Linked DNA regions of Arabidopsis thaliana. The protein of the gene in region 3 purifies or fractionates together with the protein of the main gene of each other region. This does not show direct contact. Each region holds a gene or a part of one and is shown on either strand. Other genes may lie near its edges. The genes, in order: AT5G12940, AT3G20820 and AT3G04590.

Region 1 (5,739 bases), on a different chromosome or scaffold from region 3:
AACGCTAATTTTTTTAATCTGTCAAAGTAACGAAAAATGTCTCAAATCCCTAGCAGATACTCACCCTAAGATCAACTGATTTCTGGAGCTGACGAATGACACCATTCTTCTTCGACTGAGCGGCGGCGACACCAATGACCGCCACAAGCAGGAATCTTTGGTAAGGCGTGAAGAGCTCCCACGCAAGGGATTCCTCTCTGCTCAATCCGCCGCCGATTGATCGCGCTGAGCTGGCTTCATCGGAATTGACGAGTAAACCCTGGAGAGAGATGTAAGCTAGCGGGGGAGACGATTGTAGAGGCTGGCAACGACGGGTAAAGTGAGTAGAGAGGCGACGAGTATACGGAGAGAAGAAAGGGGCGAGATGGACTGAAGCATGCGGAATTGGGTAAGACCCGGGATCCGGATCCGAACCGGGTTCATTCATGGACGAGCCGAAGAGGAATGGAGGAATCAACGAGGTTCGTTCGTCTTCAAAGAGAGATTTCAATTCTTCAAAGAGAGATTTTTTCAATTTTCAATATTCAATATTCAATTTTGGGTTCTTTGGAGTTTTCTGTAATTTCAAAATGTGAGATTTCCCCCGTAAGGAAGGTGATGCGACGTTCATCGTCTGGGTCTACATTGAAGCCACGTATTCATTTTTTTGCCTTTTTGGTTCATTTTCTTTTTACTGTCTCTCTTGTACTTTTCTTCACAGCCACATTTTTCTGGTGTTTTGATTTCCAAGGTTATTGTTTTGAAAAAACAAACATATATGTTTTCTGCTTATTCGTCTTTTTGTTAAGATTAATCGAGTAGTCCTATATAGAAAAATCATACTTTTATTTGTCTTTTTTTGGAACTTAATAAATAGTTATAGACACATTCTTTGAAAAACATTAGTCCAAAACTCACTTGGTCTCTCTCTTTATTTGTCTTGGGTTCTACCTTTCTGGCTCTCCTAAAATATATCTCACCTTCACCTTGTGAATTATCTCAGCCAGTAGAGCTCCAGTTCACCGTTACGCTTTGCATGGTGCGTCAATACTTAACCTTTATTCGCTGGTCTATCTCTCATGTCAGTCATGTGCTTGCTCATGCATTATTTACGGGAACCACATTTTTGTATTAGTTCTCATAACCCTTAATTGGGTATTTGATTGAACCACATTTTGCAAGCATTAATACACGATTACACGTGACGTCTAACGGTCTAAGTGATATATCCTCCAGTGATATAGACACGTGCTATGCCCTAGTCCTTGGGAAATCGACCTTTCTTTTTGTTTTTCTTCGTTTTCTGAATTATGAAAAGTCGTCTGTTGTTGACTCCCCTGCATACTACCTACATTTTTGTAAGTGTTATTCTATGCAATCAATCCCACAAATTTCTCATCTTTTTGCACTCAAAACACAGTTTACTAATTTAGTTTGTCACGTCAACAAAAAAATAGCCGACAAAAGTTATGTTTTGTGGATGATCATTTCATAAAACTTAATTGTATAATGATTGTTGTCATCATAATCCATGTTAATATATTTCAATCGACCGATGATTTATATGAATCAGTTTTTAAAGTTCTAATACACGGCAAACGAACGTCAAGCACATGCGCGGGCACATGAGTTGTCTTTTGAATAATCAAAGCCATTAATGTCACCCTTCTGACTTGACACTTCCTTCTAAATCTCTTGATACAATTATAACAACTACTAAATCTCCGAATCACGTTTACTCTAGCTGCTGTCTCCAAACCTGTCCTGTTTTTAGGGCCGACCATGAATTTTAAGATATATCTCAAGGGAAATAACTAAATACGCTAAACTACGTTGTTGAATTAAGAAGTTGATTTTCAACGTCTACAAACATAATTTCACTAAAGGTTGAATCTATTAGCGTTTCTGTTTGACGAAAACAAACGAACAGTTTAATCTTCCGCTGGTCTATGGACGATAAAATGAACAAGACAAAATAAAACCTTACATATTTGAGTCGTTGTTCTTTATCAAAAAAAAATAAAAAATTTGAGTCGTTGCTCGTCAGATTTTATGTCACTAGACAGCAACGAAAACAAGCACATAATAATCAAAACCGTAGCAGAAAATGCCAATCAAAGGTAAATTATGGTTCATGGAGGCAATTTGCAAACAATGATTAGGATTGTGTCATACTGTAGAAAAAATTAACAAAACAATTTTTTTATTATTCATTGACTCGAAGGTTGAACAAGAAGGTCGAAAAAATAAACATCTTTACATGGGGGTTCATATTATTTATGTACAAATTGCTACCAAGGACAAAGATCACATGCTCATCTACAACGATAAGATCAATGAATTTGACAGTATATTAATAAATCATGCATCTATACATAAATAAAAACTAGTAGGAACTAGTCTAGTCAAAAAGTACAGTATTATGGACAAGATATGAAACTAGCTAGGATAATACTAATTGCTGTAGCTTAAGCCACTTGAATGTTGTCCCTCATTATTATGTCCAAAAAATTCAATGTAGACAAGAAAAAAGAACTAATACTAATATATGTCTTGCCACGATTGTTACTTTAATCTCATTTTTCAAATATTATGGTCTCATATAGCCAAATCTGTAATTCTTATATTCCAGTACGTATGGAGAGACTCGGGAGAGTCGAACCAAGAACATGCTCAGGCCTTCTGAGTTGTGACATAGATAGTACAACCAGGCGACCGAGACAAACAAAACCATGTTATTTGTAATGAATCATAATGATCCAATCTTGACCACACACAAAGAAAAGTCTGATAATAATGAAACAAATGAGCATGCAAAGTATGTGACGACGTGGCAAAAAATGAGAAGGTTCAACGAAGCAACAAAAAGAAGTATTTCGTCGTCTTTACTCCCATCAATATGTGACTATAAATAAAACCATATAGTTAAGTCACACTTCCATGTCAACGTGCTTCAACCTATGTAAAGCTAAAAAAAAAACACATCACACAAAAGATTCTCTACACTATGGATACTAAGAAATCGTTAGTGATCCTATTGACTAACGTCGTCGTCTTCTTGCTTCTCTCCACGACTGTCCATTCTTGCTTACCGTCCGACCGAGCGGCGCTTCTAGAGTTCCGAGCAAAGCTCAACGAGCCCTACATTGGAGTTTTCAACACATGGAAAGGTCTAGACTGTTGCAAAGGCTGGTATGGTGTGAGCTGCGATCCCAACACCCGTCGAGTCGCCGGCATTACACTCCGAGGTGAATCCGAAGACCCGCTTTTCCAAAAGGCGAAACGGAGCGGACTAATGACCGGCTCCATTTCGCCCTCTATATGTAAGCTCACTCGTCTCTCCGGTATCATCATCGCTGATTGGAAGGGAATCTCCGGTGTGATTCCTAGTTGCATTGAGAATCTCCCTTTCTTGAGACATTTAGATCTCGTCGGAAATAAATTCTCCGGCGTGATTCCGGCGAATATCGGGAAGTTACTGAGGCTTAAAGTGTTGAATCTAGCTGATAATCACTTATACGGTGTGATTCCTCCGTCGATCACGAGATTAGTGAGTTTATCGCATTTGGATCTCAGGAATAACAATATCTCGGGAGTCATACCGCGAGATATTGGTCGTTTAAAGATGGTGAGTCGTGTCCTTTTAAGCGGTAACAAAATCTCGGGTCAAATACCCGATTCTCTGACCCGGATATACCGGCTCGCGGATCTTGAGCTCTCGATGAACCGACTCACCGGTCCGATTCCGGCTTCGTTCGGTAAAATGTCGGTGCTCGCGACTCTCAATCTCGATGGGAACTTGATCTCCGGTATGATTCCGGGGAGTCTATTGGCATCATCGATCTCGAATTTGAATCTGAGCGGGAATCTTATAACCGGAAGTATACCTAACACGTTTGGACCGAGATCGTACTTCACGGTGCTGGATCTTGCGAACAATCGTCTTCAGGGACCGATTCCGGCGAGTATCACGGCGGCGTCGTTTATTGGTCACCTTGACGTGAGCCATAACCATTTGTGTGGGAAGATTCCGATGGGATCTCCGTTTGATCATCTTGACGCGACGTCGTTTGCTTACAATGCTTGTCTTTGTGGAAAGCCTCTTGGGAATTGTAAGAAATAATTAATTAAATTATTGTTTAAAGATTTGAGGGAATCATTATATAGTTTGATTATGAATATTATTACTATAATTTTCACGTTATCAATGTAACTATAAGCAATATTTTTATCTGGTGTTTAAGTCTTCTTGTTTATCTGTCTTGATTGATTCTCAAACTATCATCAATGAGACACCTCGAACCAAATGAAATGAGCTAATAGGATAAACTTTTCAAATACGAGTTTAGAAATGTGGACCGACCACGCTTGTGAGATCAGTAAAGCCCGGGATACATTCAACCATTTGTTCTGACTAGACTTTACAAATATGGACTATGGTATGCATATTAAATTCGTCTCCTTACATACAATTCAAAACAGTTTGGTTAGAAGTGTAAGTGTGTAACACTTTTAAGATACGTTTTTTTCTTGTATCTCTTGTTTTGGTGTGTTTCACTTAGAGATTGGTTTCATTCAAATTTCAGTTAGTACATTTTTCTGTTGTAATGTTAAACCAGAATTTGTGTCTATGTCCATTTTCTTTGTGACGCCAGGTCTATATGTCCAATTAGGTGGTCTACTTAACAAAACATATTTAAGTGGACCGTATAGGCCAAATTGGTTTGGTGGGCTTGTATCCAATGTCGGTGGTGCACCATGCATAAGTAGTCGTCTTTTGGAAGAACGGAAGATATAAATATTGCCATAACTCCACAAGTTTTTCAACTGAGTTTTAATTAGTCGTAAATCAATATTGACGTAAAAATATCTCACACCTTTAAGCAATTCTGTGATGACCGCGTTGCTGATCATAGCCTCCAAAGGATGTGCAATGAACTATAAATTTTGCGATGGAATTAGTCAAACTACATTTTCTTTGTGATGATCTCTTTGATCCGTTATTGAACACACATTTCATATTTCAAAGATAAAGTAAGAATATTGACAAAGTTTCTGATAGATTACTCTATAGCACAAAACACAATAGTCACTACTAGCTAGATTACATAAATTTATTCATTAATGGTATATTGATCTAGATTCTGTTATAAGTAATAATGGCTAGCTTGCCCGGTAAAGATCATCACAACTATATAGTAGACATAGTTTTTTTAGAAGAACAACAAGATACGACACAAAGAACACGTGAATACCGTGCGGGAGAGAATTGCACAACAAGTATGTGATGCTTCTAAGTCACTTTTATTATTAACAGGAATACCGTACATGAGAGAATTCCATAACAAGTTTGTGTGCAAAGTATGCTTTGAAGCATCCTATTAGTTAAAAATATTAATGGTCCATGCTGATTGTAAAATTTCTAGTAATAATTGTTTCAACGTAACTGGTTTTAGACAAACGTATTGACATATGCTTACAAAAGCCTGTTTCTTAAGTGTTGAGGAAGACTTTCTCTCAAAGTATTCTTGTATGAGCTTTCTATGTTCTACAATAATTTCATAAAACTCATCGATTAACTATTAAGTATTCCAATTATTGTAGGGTAAATGTATTTAACTACCATATCGTTGAAAAGATAAAAAATATATATATATATGGTCTTACAATTAGAGACTTGCTCGGTCTTGGTCTTACTAACTAATCCCCCTTCCACTATATATGTGCAATAAGTTTCTTAGCAAGATTAGTCTCACCAAC
Region 2 (5,801 bases), 6.0 Mb from region 3:
GCAATTGTGTTGAGATATGGAGCAAAAAGCAAAGTCACGGGTAAAACAAAGTCCTACCCATATTAAGGATACACCTACAAGCTAAAAAGATAGGTGTTTGGCTTTGAAAATGAAAAATTAACTTTTATGTAGGTGTTCCGCCCAAAACTTGCAAAGCATACATTTACAAATGATTTATAGTGTTTGAAAATACGTACATGTCCTTTTTATTTACAATACATACGTTTGAAAGTCACACCGAAAATGCCTTAGAAAGTCATTTCACAAACGATCTTTGATCAAAGAAAAACAAAGATCCATGTAAAGTGTTAGCAGAAAAGTTTTGGAGATTGCACAAAATTTAAAATCTGATTATTTAACATATTAATTGTAACGTTCTCAACGCTCTTGTTAGTAGCTATCAATTTATTTATTTTGAATAACACTTGTTCCATTAGATTTAGCTTGGTTCAGTCACCAAAAAAAGTAATTAGCTAGAAGTTTCACTGTACAAGGAGAGTCAATTTAAACAATGACTCATATGGTTTGTTTTCTTGCATACCATTATGCATTTGGTTCTTTGTAATGTTTCTGTTAATTATAGAAAACAGATCCTATTCAAGTATGTTAAGAGTTTTTACAAGTAGTGAACAAAGTGTATTTCGAGTAGTACTGATTAAGACAAATACAAAAAGGAGGAATAAAAAATAAAAAAAGAAAGTGGACAAAACCTATAATTATAGTTTGGCATTTCTCAAAATTGACAATGGGTATTTTATACTAAAATCCATCAAGATAAATATTGGAAAAAATAAATAATTAATAGGACAAAAGAAGATTTGGATATTAGGAAGGTGATCACATGTTGTGTTCGACCAACCTTATTCCATAAGCAACAGAAGGCAGGGAGAGAGTTAAAGAACTTGTACAACTTTCTTCTTCTTCTTTAGTTCATGTTAAAAAAAAAATCATTTTGTTTTGATGATGTATGGCAGATTATTTATCGGAATATATAATCAAATAGGTTCAAACTTAATACATAATTTATACGTTGTACAAATGGTTTGTTTGAATCTCAACTTTACATACCACAAAGTATGAAAACAAGATTTGTGATGGACTCTAAACCATAAAAATCTATAGGGACCAACGTACGTAGGCCCAATTAGTTTGGACTCTAAAGCTGTATGAGCCCAAAACGTTTTGTAAGCAAGTATATAAATGTGTGTAATTAGAGACATAAGCAATGAATGCAGTGACATAAAGAGTAGACCCATGTAGTGAAGCAGCGACAGGTCCTGAGGTTAACACTCACCGCAAAATGCTTTACAGAGTCTCACATGCAATGCCTCTGCCCATTTATTTATTACCCCCACAACGCTTTCTTTTTAATGTTTCATTTAATTCTTCTTCATGTGATTGTGATTTGAATTTTTCCATATTATGTGTATTTGGCTCTAGAATAAATGTTCTTAAACAAACCCAACTAAATGCATTCCTAGTCTATAGTTATATGTATATCGTATAAAATATGTAAGAAAAAACAAAAAATAGTTTACTCGATACATTAAATACGAACATATCCGTAGGTATTTCCATGTATATCCTATGTTCGGATATATTCCCAATATTGACTCTTGTCACAGTAAACATAATTGATTATCAAATATGTTCGTGTGTTATAGAGAAAATTTAATCGTCTATAAAACAGTTTATAGTAATCGTATACGTACACATATAACATATTACAAAAAACCAAACAATTGAATTAAAAATGATAGCAATCGTGTGACGAATGAAACTGGAAGTTTATATATTTTGTTAATCATCCCATAATTCAACTAAACGTAGCATACAATTTTAAATCTTTTTTTTATAAAATGCATAACCATAAATATAATAATGTCTCTAATGAAAAAACTCAAATTACATATAAAAATCAATTTTTCAAGCAAGCTCTTAAAGGTTTACCACAAAGACAGTCGTTAAACATAAACGACGCCGCTTCAAGATGATCAAACGGTGAACCTACCGGAATCCTCCCACAGAGATGGTTATGGCTAAGATCCAAATGACCAATAAACGACGCACCTGAGATCGATCTCGGTATTGGTCCTTTCAGATTATTATACGACAAATCAAGAACTGTGAAGTAAGACCTTGGTCCAAACCCTTCAGGTATCTTCCCTTGTAGCAAGTTCCGGCTCAAATTCAGATTCATCACCGACGACGTCATCAGAGTTTGAGGTATCTCGCCGGAGATTTTGTTTCCGTCGAGGTTAAGTGTGGCTAGTACCGACATACGTCCTAGAGACGGTGGGATTGTACCGTAGAGTTGGTTACCGGAGAGATCCACGTCAGCTAACCGGTAGATATTGGTTAATGATTCTGGGATCCGACCGGTTATTCGGTTACCGGATAATAACGCACGGCTGAGCATTTTTAATCTTCCGACGTCCGACGGGATTACACCGGAGATTAAGTTGTTACGGAGATCTAAATGCATTAAGCTAGAGAGATTGGTTAATGATTTTGGAATTGAACCGGAGATTCGGTTATCGGCTACGTTTAAAACAGCTAACCGGTTTAATCTTCCGATGTCGTATGGAATCCCACCGGAGATTTGGTTTCCGATTAAGTCGAGTGTACGGAGAAAAGGAAGACGAGTGATACATTTAGGGATTTCGCCGGAGATACCTTTCCAATCGGCGATTGTAATGGCGGAGAGACGAGTGAGCTCACATATCGAGGCGGAGATGTGTCCGGTCATGTAACCGGTTCGGTGAGCTCGTTCGAAGATTGGATCTTCTGACTCGCCGCGGAGATTTATGTCGGCGACTCGGTGAGTGAGCGAGTCGCAGCTAATACCGTACCAGTTGTGGCAACAGTCTTGGCCTGTCCATGAGTTGAAAATGCCGAGGTAAGGCTCGTGAAGAGCTGATCGGAAAGCTAGAAGTGCACGGCGGTCTGACGGCGGACAACACGTGGCGGATGAGATTAGAAGGAGTAGGAGTAAAACGACGACGTTGAGATTCATTGTTTGAAGATTCTTTTTGAGTGACAGTGTTGGGAATTGGGACTTGATGGGTGAGGGAAGAAGATAGACGTTAATGGCATATAAATAGAGGATATTAAATAAAAGAGGGAATTTTTAAAAATATATTAATAAAAAAAGGACAATACTTTGCTTTATTTTTTTTTTTACGTGAAATTGTTAAAATAATAATTCGATATGGGTAAGATTAGACACTTTGGCCTCGTTCAATAATGAAGCTTGTGTTCGTGTAATCTTGATTAATCAAGAAATTCTACATCAAATTAGTCAACAACAAATGTCAAATTCATGTTAGATATCTTAAACACAAAAAAACGAGAACGTAAGAAATTGGTAATAACTTTTAACATGTGGGTTTGTTGTTTGAGTAACATGTGATTGTGTGGTTTGTAATAACTAGTTGTAGCAATAATATGGCCACAAAAATGAAGAAACATACACATGGATTTATAGTGTTGAGCACATTCATTAGATGGTAATAGAAAAGGTTGCAGACAAATTAAGATAGAGACAGGAACTGAAAGTGGGGGAGAGTTCCCATGCAAATAATTGAAGCTACGATTAGATTTTCCGATGCGACTTGCCGGTTGGATAAGCTTGTTGCTTACTACAATCATATCACAGGGTCAACATGACGCCACGTGGTTATGTTCTTGCATTTTAATCCTTTTTCTAATCATGTTATGAGATGACGATACACATCTTCGAGTCGCAAATAGTTGTGGTTCCGTAACTTATGTTGACTATGGGCCTGGTTTAAACGCAGCGGGTACGATTGCGGTTGCGGGAATTTGCGGAAACGGGCGGTTGCGGTTTCAAACGTTATCAAGTGTTTTGAACGACTGGTTGAGCGTTTGGTAATGAGTGCGTTTGCGGGAGTTTTATGACTGGTAAACCAGCGGGTGCGATAGTAATTAAATAAAAAATAACCAAAATAAATATAATATATTACTATTAAAAGAAAAAAAATACAATATATTATTATGATAAATTGATAATATTTGAAAAATTAAACATACTTAATAATTAAAACCATAAATAAAACTAAAAATTCAAAAATAAATAAATTTTGTAAGAAAAAGTTTAATACTTTATGCATTTGGTACATCACCAAAAATTGCATCAAGTAGTGTGATAAACTGTAAATAACGTTGAACTCGCGGGTTTTCCGGATTGCCTCTATACATATGATAAAGTTTCTTCAAGATATCCAAACGATTTTTAACACATCTCCAACTCAAATTTTTTCCAAACGTTAATATTCTTAAGAATATTTTCTTTTTGAACATCACTTAGAAATCTGATTTTGGGGTCTTTGGATTCTTCCGTTTATTTCTCCACAATAACCCGTTGAAGTAACGCAAATGTGGTCTCGTTTGACCAAATGATTTTCTAATCGAGAAAACAAATCAAAACATGTATTCAATCAAAAAACTCAAAAAAAAACAAAATAAAAAAAAACAACGATGCCATGAAATATTCCGAGAATTACACTAGCTAATGAATGGATGAAAGGATAGATCATACTTACGTTTGATTCTTGATTTTGACTTTGATTTTTGTCAGTTTGGGTGGATGCCATAATTGAGAGAATAGGGTTTCATTGATTAGGGTTTTCTGATAAGAATAAGTATAAGGTTTGGGTGGAAGACATAATTATTTTAATTAATTAATTAATTTTTTTTTAACCTAACCGCTACCGCCCGCAACCGCAAACGCTTGCGGGAAGGAGCTTTTGAAATCTGGTGATTTCAAGCGGTCCAAAGCGGTATCTAGCGGTTTCTATGATTGGTGCCAACCGCTAATAACCGCTACCACCCGCAAACGCTGCGTTTGCGGGTGGCAGAGGGAGAACCAATCAAGCCCTATATTAGCTTTTGATTCGGCTTCTAGTATCATGGCTTGGGCTAAGATTGGGCTTCAAAGCATATAGATAAATGGTTGTAAAAGCATTTACCGTTTATGATTTTTCACCGTCCGTGTCTCTAATTCAGCACCGACGGTTTCGTAATAAACGGCAGCCACATGAAACTACTGCTCACAGACAATAACTGTAAAACATGTTTTTGTCCTTAGCATTCCTAAAGGCGATTATGCGAGACATAGTAATGTCCAAAGTTTAATGCTAGTAGAGTTTTCAAAGTTTATAGGTGTTGGACTAGATCTTTTTTACCTGGAGGGGTACAATATGTCTTTTTTAAAACTATTTTCTCAAAGTTTTTGTATTTCGCATAAAATCTGTCGTCTACTATTTAATGTTACATCCCAAAGAACAAAAATCTTTGCGAGTTAAAAATCTCATCTTGGTGGATTTTGTTTCTTTAAACTTGATGGTTTTTTGGCTTGTCATGCGACAGCTCAGTTGCTGCGGGTATTACGTGTCAAGAAATTAATTATTGGTTTTGGCATGAGTATATTAATCACCCACGAACTCCAAAGCATTGGTTAGGTCGCAAGTTATATATAAAATGAATGATATCAACAAGATAAGTGCAATTACAATGACATAAGCCAACTAAAAGGAAGATACTAATTGAAGATTAGATTTTGATTAAACCATTTCTTACTTGAAACAAAGACAAACATTACCAATACCTAAAAAATGTCTGTACCAAGAGCTCTCAATTGTCTTTTACAACATAGACGTAAACCAAACAAACATCTTCATGCTCGGAGCAGTTGTTTTCTTCTCTACATAGTTTCTTCTTACATAAAGACACAACGTGAACTTAGAACCTGAAACAGAGATTAAAAATAAATCCATTCG
Region 3 (6,965 bases):
GCTCAACGAGAGTAGTCCGCAGAATCATATGCTTATCGAGCGATTTCCTGATCTCCCGAGTAAGCATTCTCACCTGCACACTCATTTCCTTCTGCCTCTTCATCAATCCAACCTCTTCATTAAGCTCCAACACATTCTGCTTCAAGTAAAGCTCTCTAACTTTCCATTTCAACAGCAACGGAATCAAAGTCAAGAGCGTGATAGCCGTGGCACACGAGACAAGCGCCGTGAGGAATTTAAAGATGGTAAGCCAAAGCATAAGCTGGAAAGAGTGTGGTCCGTAATACGTCCAAGCGTTAAGCAAATGAGTCATTCCACATAGGACAATAAAGGCAATGAATTGAACAAGAACCCATTTGAAAGGAACATTGGAGAAGCTAATGAAGTAGAGAAGCTCGAGAGGTATTGAGAAATAGGCAATGGCTATTAAGAGATCACTCACTCTTTGACATTCTAAGATGGTGTGGACACTTAAGAAACCTTCGTCGTCACAATTACAGCTCACGTAATCGTTATCACCAGAAACCAGAGCAAGAAGAGCAAACAGAAGCAATCCAAGACCTAAAGATCTTAACATCTTCTGATCCAATCTTTAATCTCTCTATCTAAAACCCTAATCAAATCCAGCCACAATCTTGAGGCTCTCTACAAGTTGAGATCCAATGAACCAATTAAACATAACTGACTTGGTATTCATAGATTTCCACAACGCGTAGAGACCAATGAGATTAAACAACTCCAAACACGCATACCCAGAAGAAGGCAAAGGAATCAAGATCTATGTTCCTCGATATTCGTAGTACTGAGAAAAGAAACCGCCTTTGAGTTTTTTTTTTTTAAATTCCAGGGGAAGGTAATCAGAGAAAAACGAAAGCTAAGATTCAAGCCAATAGAATAGAGAAAGAACACACCTCTCGAATCTAGTAAGATAAATAAGAAAGACCCATCTCCATTTGTAGCAACGAAATCGAGTCAATCTGACATCTTTTTCACAGAAGTTGGAGAAACAGAAGAAGTGATTAGAAAAGAGAAGAAACCGAGTTGGTCCGGTGGTGGCAGATCTTTTCCGGGAGTTTCAGTTGCGGATTTTCAGACTTGAGTCAACAATATTCAAAGTTTTTTTAAGACAAAAGCAGCAGACTTTTCGCTTAAGCAATTTCCGGAGAGTTGCTCAAGTCCATAAAAATGGTGGTGTTTCACTTTAAGCTTAGATGTCAACAAAAAATTCCCATTAAAGATAAGAATTTTTAACAGTAATTTTTGGCTTCACATAAGTTATAGCATTCCAACATTATCAATCAAGAAATTTACAAGTTGACAACTTGACATAAAGTTACCAAGAATTTTAAACTAAATCAATATTAATATGAATAAATAAACAGAATTCTCAAATGAGTTTTTTTGTTCTTCGTCAAATGAGTTAATGTTTTGGTCCAAGTAACGGCTCATAGGAACCGTTTACTAAATTAAGATAGGTTATGAATAATTAACATAAGTAGAAACCGAACAAACGAAGTGTATATATTTCACAAAAAGAGCATTTCCTTTTTTAGTAACAAACGAAAGAAAAACCAAAAAAAATATTATAAGAAAAGAAAAAGAGTATAAAAAAAAGGAATGAAATTGAAAGTGAAGGAGAATCGTTACTGAAAGTATAAAAAAAAGGTTGTGGAGTTAATATAATACACCGTACCAAGAAGAAGAACAAAAGCAATCACTCAGCAACTTCTTTCTATGATTAAAGACCCTTCAGACGAGTCTCTGTCTAATAAGTCCTCTCTCAGTTCAGATTCTTTGCTCGCCTTCTGTTTCTCTACTTGGGATCTAAACTCTACACACTTCTCCTGGAAGCTCTGCTAATCCGGTATTTGCTGCTCGTAATCTCCATTCTCCGACGACTCATGTCCTATCCTTCCTGCACAAGATTACATCCATCAGCGTTTCAAGCCATTGCCACAACGGAGAAGAGCTTTAGCCTGTAATCTTCTAGAACTCTACAAAATACTAATTTCCACCAATCTCCATAGCAATTCTAATCTGTCCTTGTTTGGATTTAAGGGTTTGAACTTTGATGAAGAAAGATGACATCTTTCGAGAAGTTTTGAGCTTTTTTGTTACCTGACAAATCATACCCGCCACCGCCTCTGCCATCATGACCGCTGTTGCCTCCTCCGCGCCATTCAGATGGCCTGGAATGTGTCATGTGTATCCCCTGCGGCGCTTGCATCATGAAATGATGAGGTCCACCCAAACCGGCTTGATGATGATGATGATCATGTTGCTCGTCGTTTCCCCTCATTGGATTTCTTCCCGTAGATTCCATACCAGGAGGGAAACCCATGCCAAGCAACTGTCCAGAGCTTACAGGAGAAGTTAACCGACTTCCACTGTTTGAAGCATCCCCTTTCCCACCACTCCCGGCGGCATCCTTCTTTCTATCAAGCTGAAACGTACCAAGAATCACCTGCATTTGCACAAATCTAAGGCGATCAATCAAAGCCAGACCTCCTATCTTAGGAAATGATCAGTTTTGTGTAAGATGGTTGGAAACAATAACAATGTTTCAATATATGCAAGTTGAAACTATGATACAACAGAATTGTACCTGAACCGGGCCAGCAGCTGTGAGATGGCTACCAATCGCTCCACCGATGATCTGACCATCTGAAGCAGATAAAGAAACGCTAAGGCCGCCGGATTTACCACCTTGTTCAGTTCGGATATAGGATCCAGATAGTGAGAGAATCTCGTATTGACCCTGAATAAATTTTTTGAAATTTGAGGCAAGTTTAACAATGATATGCAAACTTCAAAGAAAGTATCTGAATTAAGAATCTCTTTGCTTTATCAACATGCTAACTGTATTGTGTATCAATTTTCCTCTATCACACAGAATAGAGAGAAAGGATCAGAAAGAAAAAACCCTCCTCTCCCCTTTGGAAAGAAACAACAAAGAAGCAAGCTGAGTACTATTTTACTGCAAGAGAAAATCACCTCATATGGTAAGTTGCCTCCTGATGGAGCCGGTTGGCGCAAGGATGCATTAGAGATAGTGCCTGATGCAGAAAGAACGCATAGTTCATGCTTGCTTTGGTTTGCGAACATCATAATTTTCTGGACCACATCCTGACAGTATCACAAAGAGAACACTTAGAATCATTAAGGATCCTCCTCGATTTGCATTAGTATCAATGAAACAAAAAGAGAAATAGAATGACTTAGAATTGAAAGAATGATAGATATTGTGCCTACACCAACAAATCTCTATTACAAGTAAGGATCTTGAGTGTACAAGAACATGACATACCTCGCCAGGAGCTATATTAACAATATGCGGAGTAAAACATTGTCCAGTTTTCCCTGCACCAACAAAAAACTTGTAGTAAAGCTCAGAGTATAACACAAATTCCAGAATATAACTAAAGGATCACTTGAAAGATACTCAATGGGATCTAAAAAAGAAACAAATTGATAAACTATACAAACAAGAATCTAACTACACAATCTTCAGTGTAATTAAGAAACTCAAGATGTAAATCTACTGCTGTAAATTATACATAATGCTAATTCAAGGCACTTACGTCTCAAATCACACCAACGAATTAACAGCTAAAGAATCAAAATTTAAGAATTGGGAGATTAATCATTGACCTTAAAGTTGGAAACTTTAGATATCAAATTGACCAACGATAAGATTCAAAAGAAGAAAAGATTAAACCCACCGACAGAACCAAGCTGAGATTTCTTGGATGACCCGGAATTAGTCGATACCGTACCACCGGTAACAGCAGCAAGCTCTCGCCTCTGTTTAGCAGACGAACTACTCGCAGAAGACGCCAATTTCTTAGCCGCTAGGGCTTGTTCCGGCGTCACATACTTTCTTGGTCGACCCCTCTTCCTCTTTACCGGCTCCATCGGCGCCGTCACAGCCGAGGACGGAACTGAATGAGGGTACACCGCGAGAGAAGATGACCCATCATTAGGCTGGTGCTGTGGCTGAGGCTGCGGAGGGAAAAGCCCATTGTTGGAAGATGGAACGGCGTTTCCGGTAGAAGCGGTGGTTGCTACGGTGGTTGGAAGGTGGTGATGGTGCTGTAGTTGGTGGTGGAAGTAAGGAGAAGTGAGTCGTTGCTGCTGCTGCTGTTGCTGTTGCTGTTGGTGGAGGTGATGGAGCTGTTGTTGTTGGTGGTGATGGTGGCTTTCGTTAGGATCCATTCCTTTTTAGAGAGATACGCACAAAAATAAGAATTTCTAGAGAGAGAGAGTTAGGGATTTTTTTTCATTTTTTCTTTTTGCATTTTTTTTTGTTTTCTTTTAGGGTTTTATTATTTTATACTTATATATTAATCGATAAGAAGGAAGATGATGAGATAGAATCTCAACCGTTAGATCTTCTAGATTTGACTTAAGATGTTTTTGACTTATGTGTGTTAAAGCATCTCTTCTTTTTACCCTTTTTTATCTGTTTTTATTTCTCGAGGAAACAGAAATTTAATTTTTTCAGAGGGAAACGAAAGATCACTCACTCACCTTCTCAGTTTTTCACTTTTCTCTAGTCATTTAGTACATGGTTGATTTAACATATCCTCCAATTTCAAAGAAACCATGATTTGAATGATTAAAAGAAAATGATAAAGTCAATGGGGGTGTAACAAAAAGATTGAACTCCTTTTTCAACTTTGCATTCGTCAACATTGGTATTCAACAAAGGCCTTTAATCACTAACCAATACCCCGGTTAGGCCACATATTCACTTTCTTCCTAAACAAGCAACAAAGCATCAAACAAAGGGGAAAAAAAGACTTTGTAACTGTTTGGAACTCAATGATCTGTTTTGGCTAGGAGATTGCATAAACGGATGGGATTTCAAGTACTGAAAAATGTAGCTAGCACAAAATGAACTCCATAAAAACTCAAAGGCCGGCCTTTTCAGATTTAATGCATCTTCAAGTCTTGTATTGACTAACCGAAGCATCCTTTAGAGATGAAAAGACCAATGAGAGAATCAAACGTCCCATCACTCACCACTCTTTTTTTTTTATCTCTTGACATATCTTGTTTAGTTATAAACATCATCAGAATTTTCTTCCATCACTAAACAACACTCCAAAAACTTCTCCCTTCTTCTTCTTTCTCAAATTCACAAAACATGATTTTCATATCTAAAATCTTTTAACACCTATTTTAGTGCATAAACTAATCAACTATTGGATTATGAAAATTTATGAAATTATGATAACATCTTATAGACTATGGAAAGATTATTAACGGATCAGAAAGAAAGACGAAGAAGATATTCAATAAACCGGACCGGTGCATTTAGATGATGAATGAACTTCTAGTGAAAAAGGCAATCATGGCGTCAAAGACTTTGATTAGTGATACAATTGAAAAAATTAACGAGAGGGGGATATTTGTTCTCTCTAAAAGTAAAGGGATAAATGACGATAATTGTTTTAATTTTGGGCCAGAGAGAAAGGGGTAATGTGTATATCTAAAACTTGACGGCAAAATTGACAAAAATAAAATATTCTGACTCCCAAATAGTAATAAATATATGACTTAAACCTCGTTTTGTTCTTCGTCAGTCTAAAGACTATCTCCAGTCGCAAAACCACCGCCGTATATCCACGGCCGTCTTATCACCGGCAACAACCGTAGGTACTTGGATATAACAATTTCATTCAGCTCTATTCAGCTTGTTTGCTAATAGGATTTTGAATCTGACTTCTGTTTTTGTATAGGTTTTTGTTTTCCGTCGCGATGGAGGTGGATAAGAAGGACGAGAGAGAGGCTGAATCTTCGGAGCAAGTGGTGAATCCATGGGAAGTGTCCGCCAAAGACGGCGGGAAGATCGATTACGACAAGCTTATTGACAAATTTGGATGTCAAAGGCTTGACGAGTCACTGATTGATCGTGTTCAGAGACTGACTTCTCGTCAACCACACGTGTTCCTCCGCCGTAGTGTCTTCTTCGCCCACCGGTTAGACATTCACTGTTTTAATTAATTGTGTAGAAATTTCTCGTCTTGCTTGTTTTAATTGTGAGGTTTTAACAGGGATTTCAATGAGATTTTGGACGCTTATGAGAGAGGAGACAAGTTCTATCTCTACACTGGAAGAGGACCTTCATCAGAAGCATTGCATTTGGGGCATTTGATTCCTTTCATGTTTACCAAGTAAGTGAGATCCTGGAGCTAGTATTGTCTTACCATGTTTACGGATTTGGTAGATTGTGCTTGCTCTTTATACTTGAAATGGTTTGCAGATACTTGCAAGAAGCTTTCAAGGTTCCCCTTGTTATACAGCTCACGGATGATGAAAAAAGTATATGGAAGAACTTATCGGTGGAGGAAAGTCAAAGACTTGCCAGAGAAAATGCGAAAGATATTATTGCTTGTGGATTCGATGTAACAAAGACCTTCATTTTCTCGGACTTCGACTATGTTGGCGGGTAAGTCGCATTCGAATCTTCTATGGAAATAACTAGCACCGCTCTTGCTTTGTAGAAAATATTGCTTGAAGAGCTCTTGGTAGTACATATAGTCTACATGCATGTAGCTCAATTTTTTATTTTTTTTTTGGCGAAGATTTGTAAGATCATATATTGTCCTTCGTTTTTTTTTTTTTTTTTGATTGATGTATCACAGTATATTTGGCTGATCATATGCAAAAACTTTGTGTGTAGTGCTTTCTATAAAAATATGGTGAAGGTTGGCAAGTGCGTTACACTTAATAAGGTGACTTTACTATCTATCTCCTTGAATTGCACAATGCGGCTGATATGTTGTATAGCTACTTTGTGTTTGTGGTTTTCATTTGTATATCTCCTTCTTTGCTAGGCTATGGGAATCTTTGGCTTTTCCGGTGAAGATCCTATCGCGAAACTCAGTTTCCCTCCTGTGCAGGTATGTCGTTTGTTCTGTTGGTGTGGCTATGTGTATTCTAACTGCATATAGACTGTA

What was found.
Region 1: the proteins of AT3G04590 (region 3) and AT5G12940 fractionate together in Arabidopsis thaliana (co-fractionation; one large-scale study listed by BioGRID). This does not show direct contact.
Region 2: the proteins of AT3G04590 (region 3) and AT3G20820 fractionate together in Arabidopsis thaliana (co-fractionation; one large-scale study listed by BioGRID). This does not show direct contact.

Annotation. Positions count from the first base shown.
Region 1 is NC_003076.8:4,084,796-4,090,534, forward strand, and holds AT5G12940 (Leucine-rich repeat (LRR) family protein), read left to right. Parts: upstream 1-2,893; 5' UTR 2,894-2,986; coding exon 2,987-4,102; 3' UTR 4,103-4,351; downstream 4,352-5,739. Other genes in the region: AT5G12930 (inactive rhomboid protein), read right to left, coding at 65-427.
Region 2 is NC_003074.8:7,278,145-7,283,945, reverse strand, and holds AT3G20820 (Leucine-rich repeat (LRR) family protein), read right to left. Parts: upstream 3,155-5,801; 5' UTR 3,017-3,154; coding exon 1,919-3,016; 3' UTR 1,569-1,918; downstream 1-1,568.
Region 3 is NC_003074.8:1,237,389-1,244,353, forward strand, and holds AT3G04590 (AT hook motif DNA-binding family protein), read right to left. Parts: upstream 4,417-6,965; 5' UTR 4,216-4,416; coding exon 3,723-4,215; intron 3,361-3,722; coding exon 3,308-3,360; intron 3,127-3,307; coding exon 2,995-3,126; intron 2,759-2,994; coding exon 2,606-2,758; intron 2,465-2,605; coding exon 2,119-2,464; intron 1,916-2,118; coding exon 1,857-1,915; 3' UTR 1,842-1,856; coding exon of another isoform or gene 1,825-1,841; 3' UTR 1,465-1,824; downstream 1-1,464. Other genes in the region: EIN4 (Signal transduction histidine kinase, hybrid-type, ethylene sensor), read right to left, coding at 1-577; AT3G04600 (Nucleotidylyl transferase superfamily protein), read left to right, coding at 5,764-5,984, 6,060-6,179, 6,269-6,454, 6,689-6,740, 6,843-6,908. UniProt on the Arabidopsis thaliana protein: Transcription factor that specifically binds AT-rich DNA sequences related to the nuclear matrix attachment regions (MARs).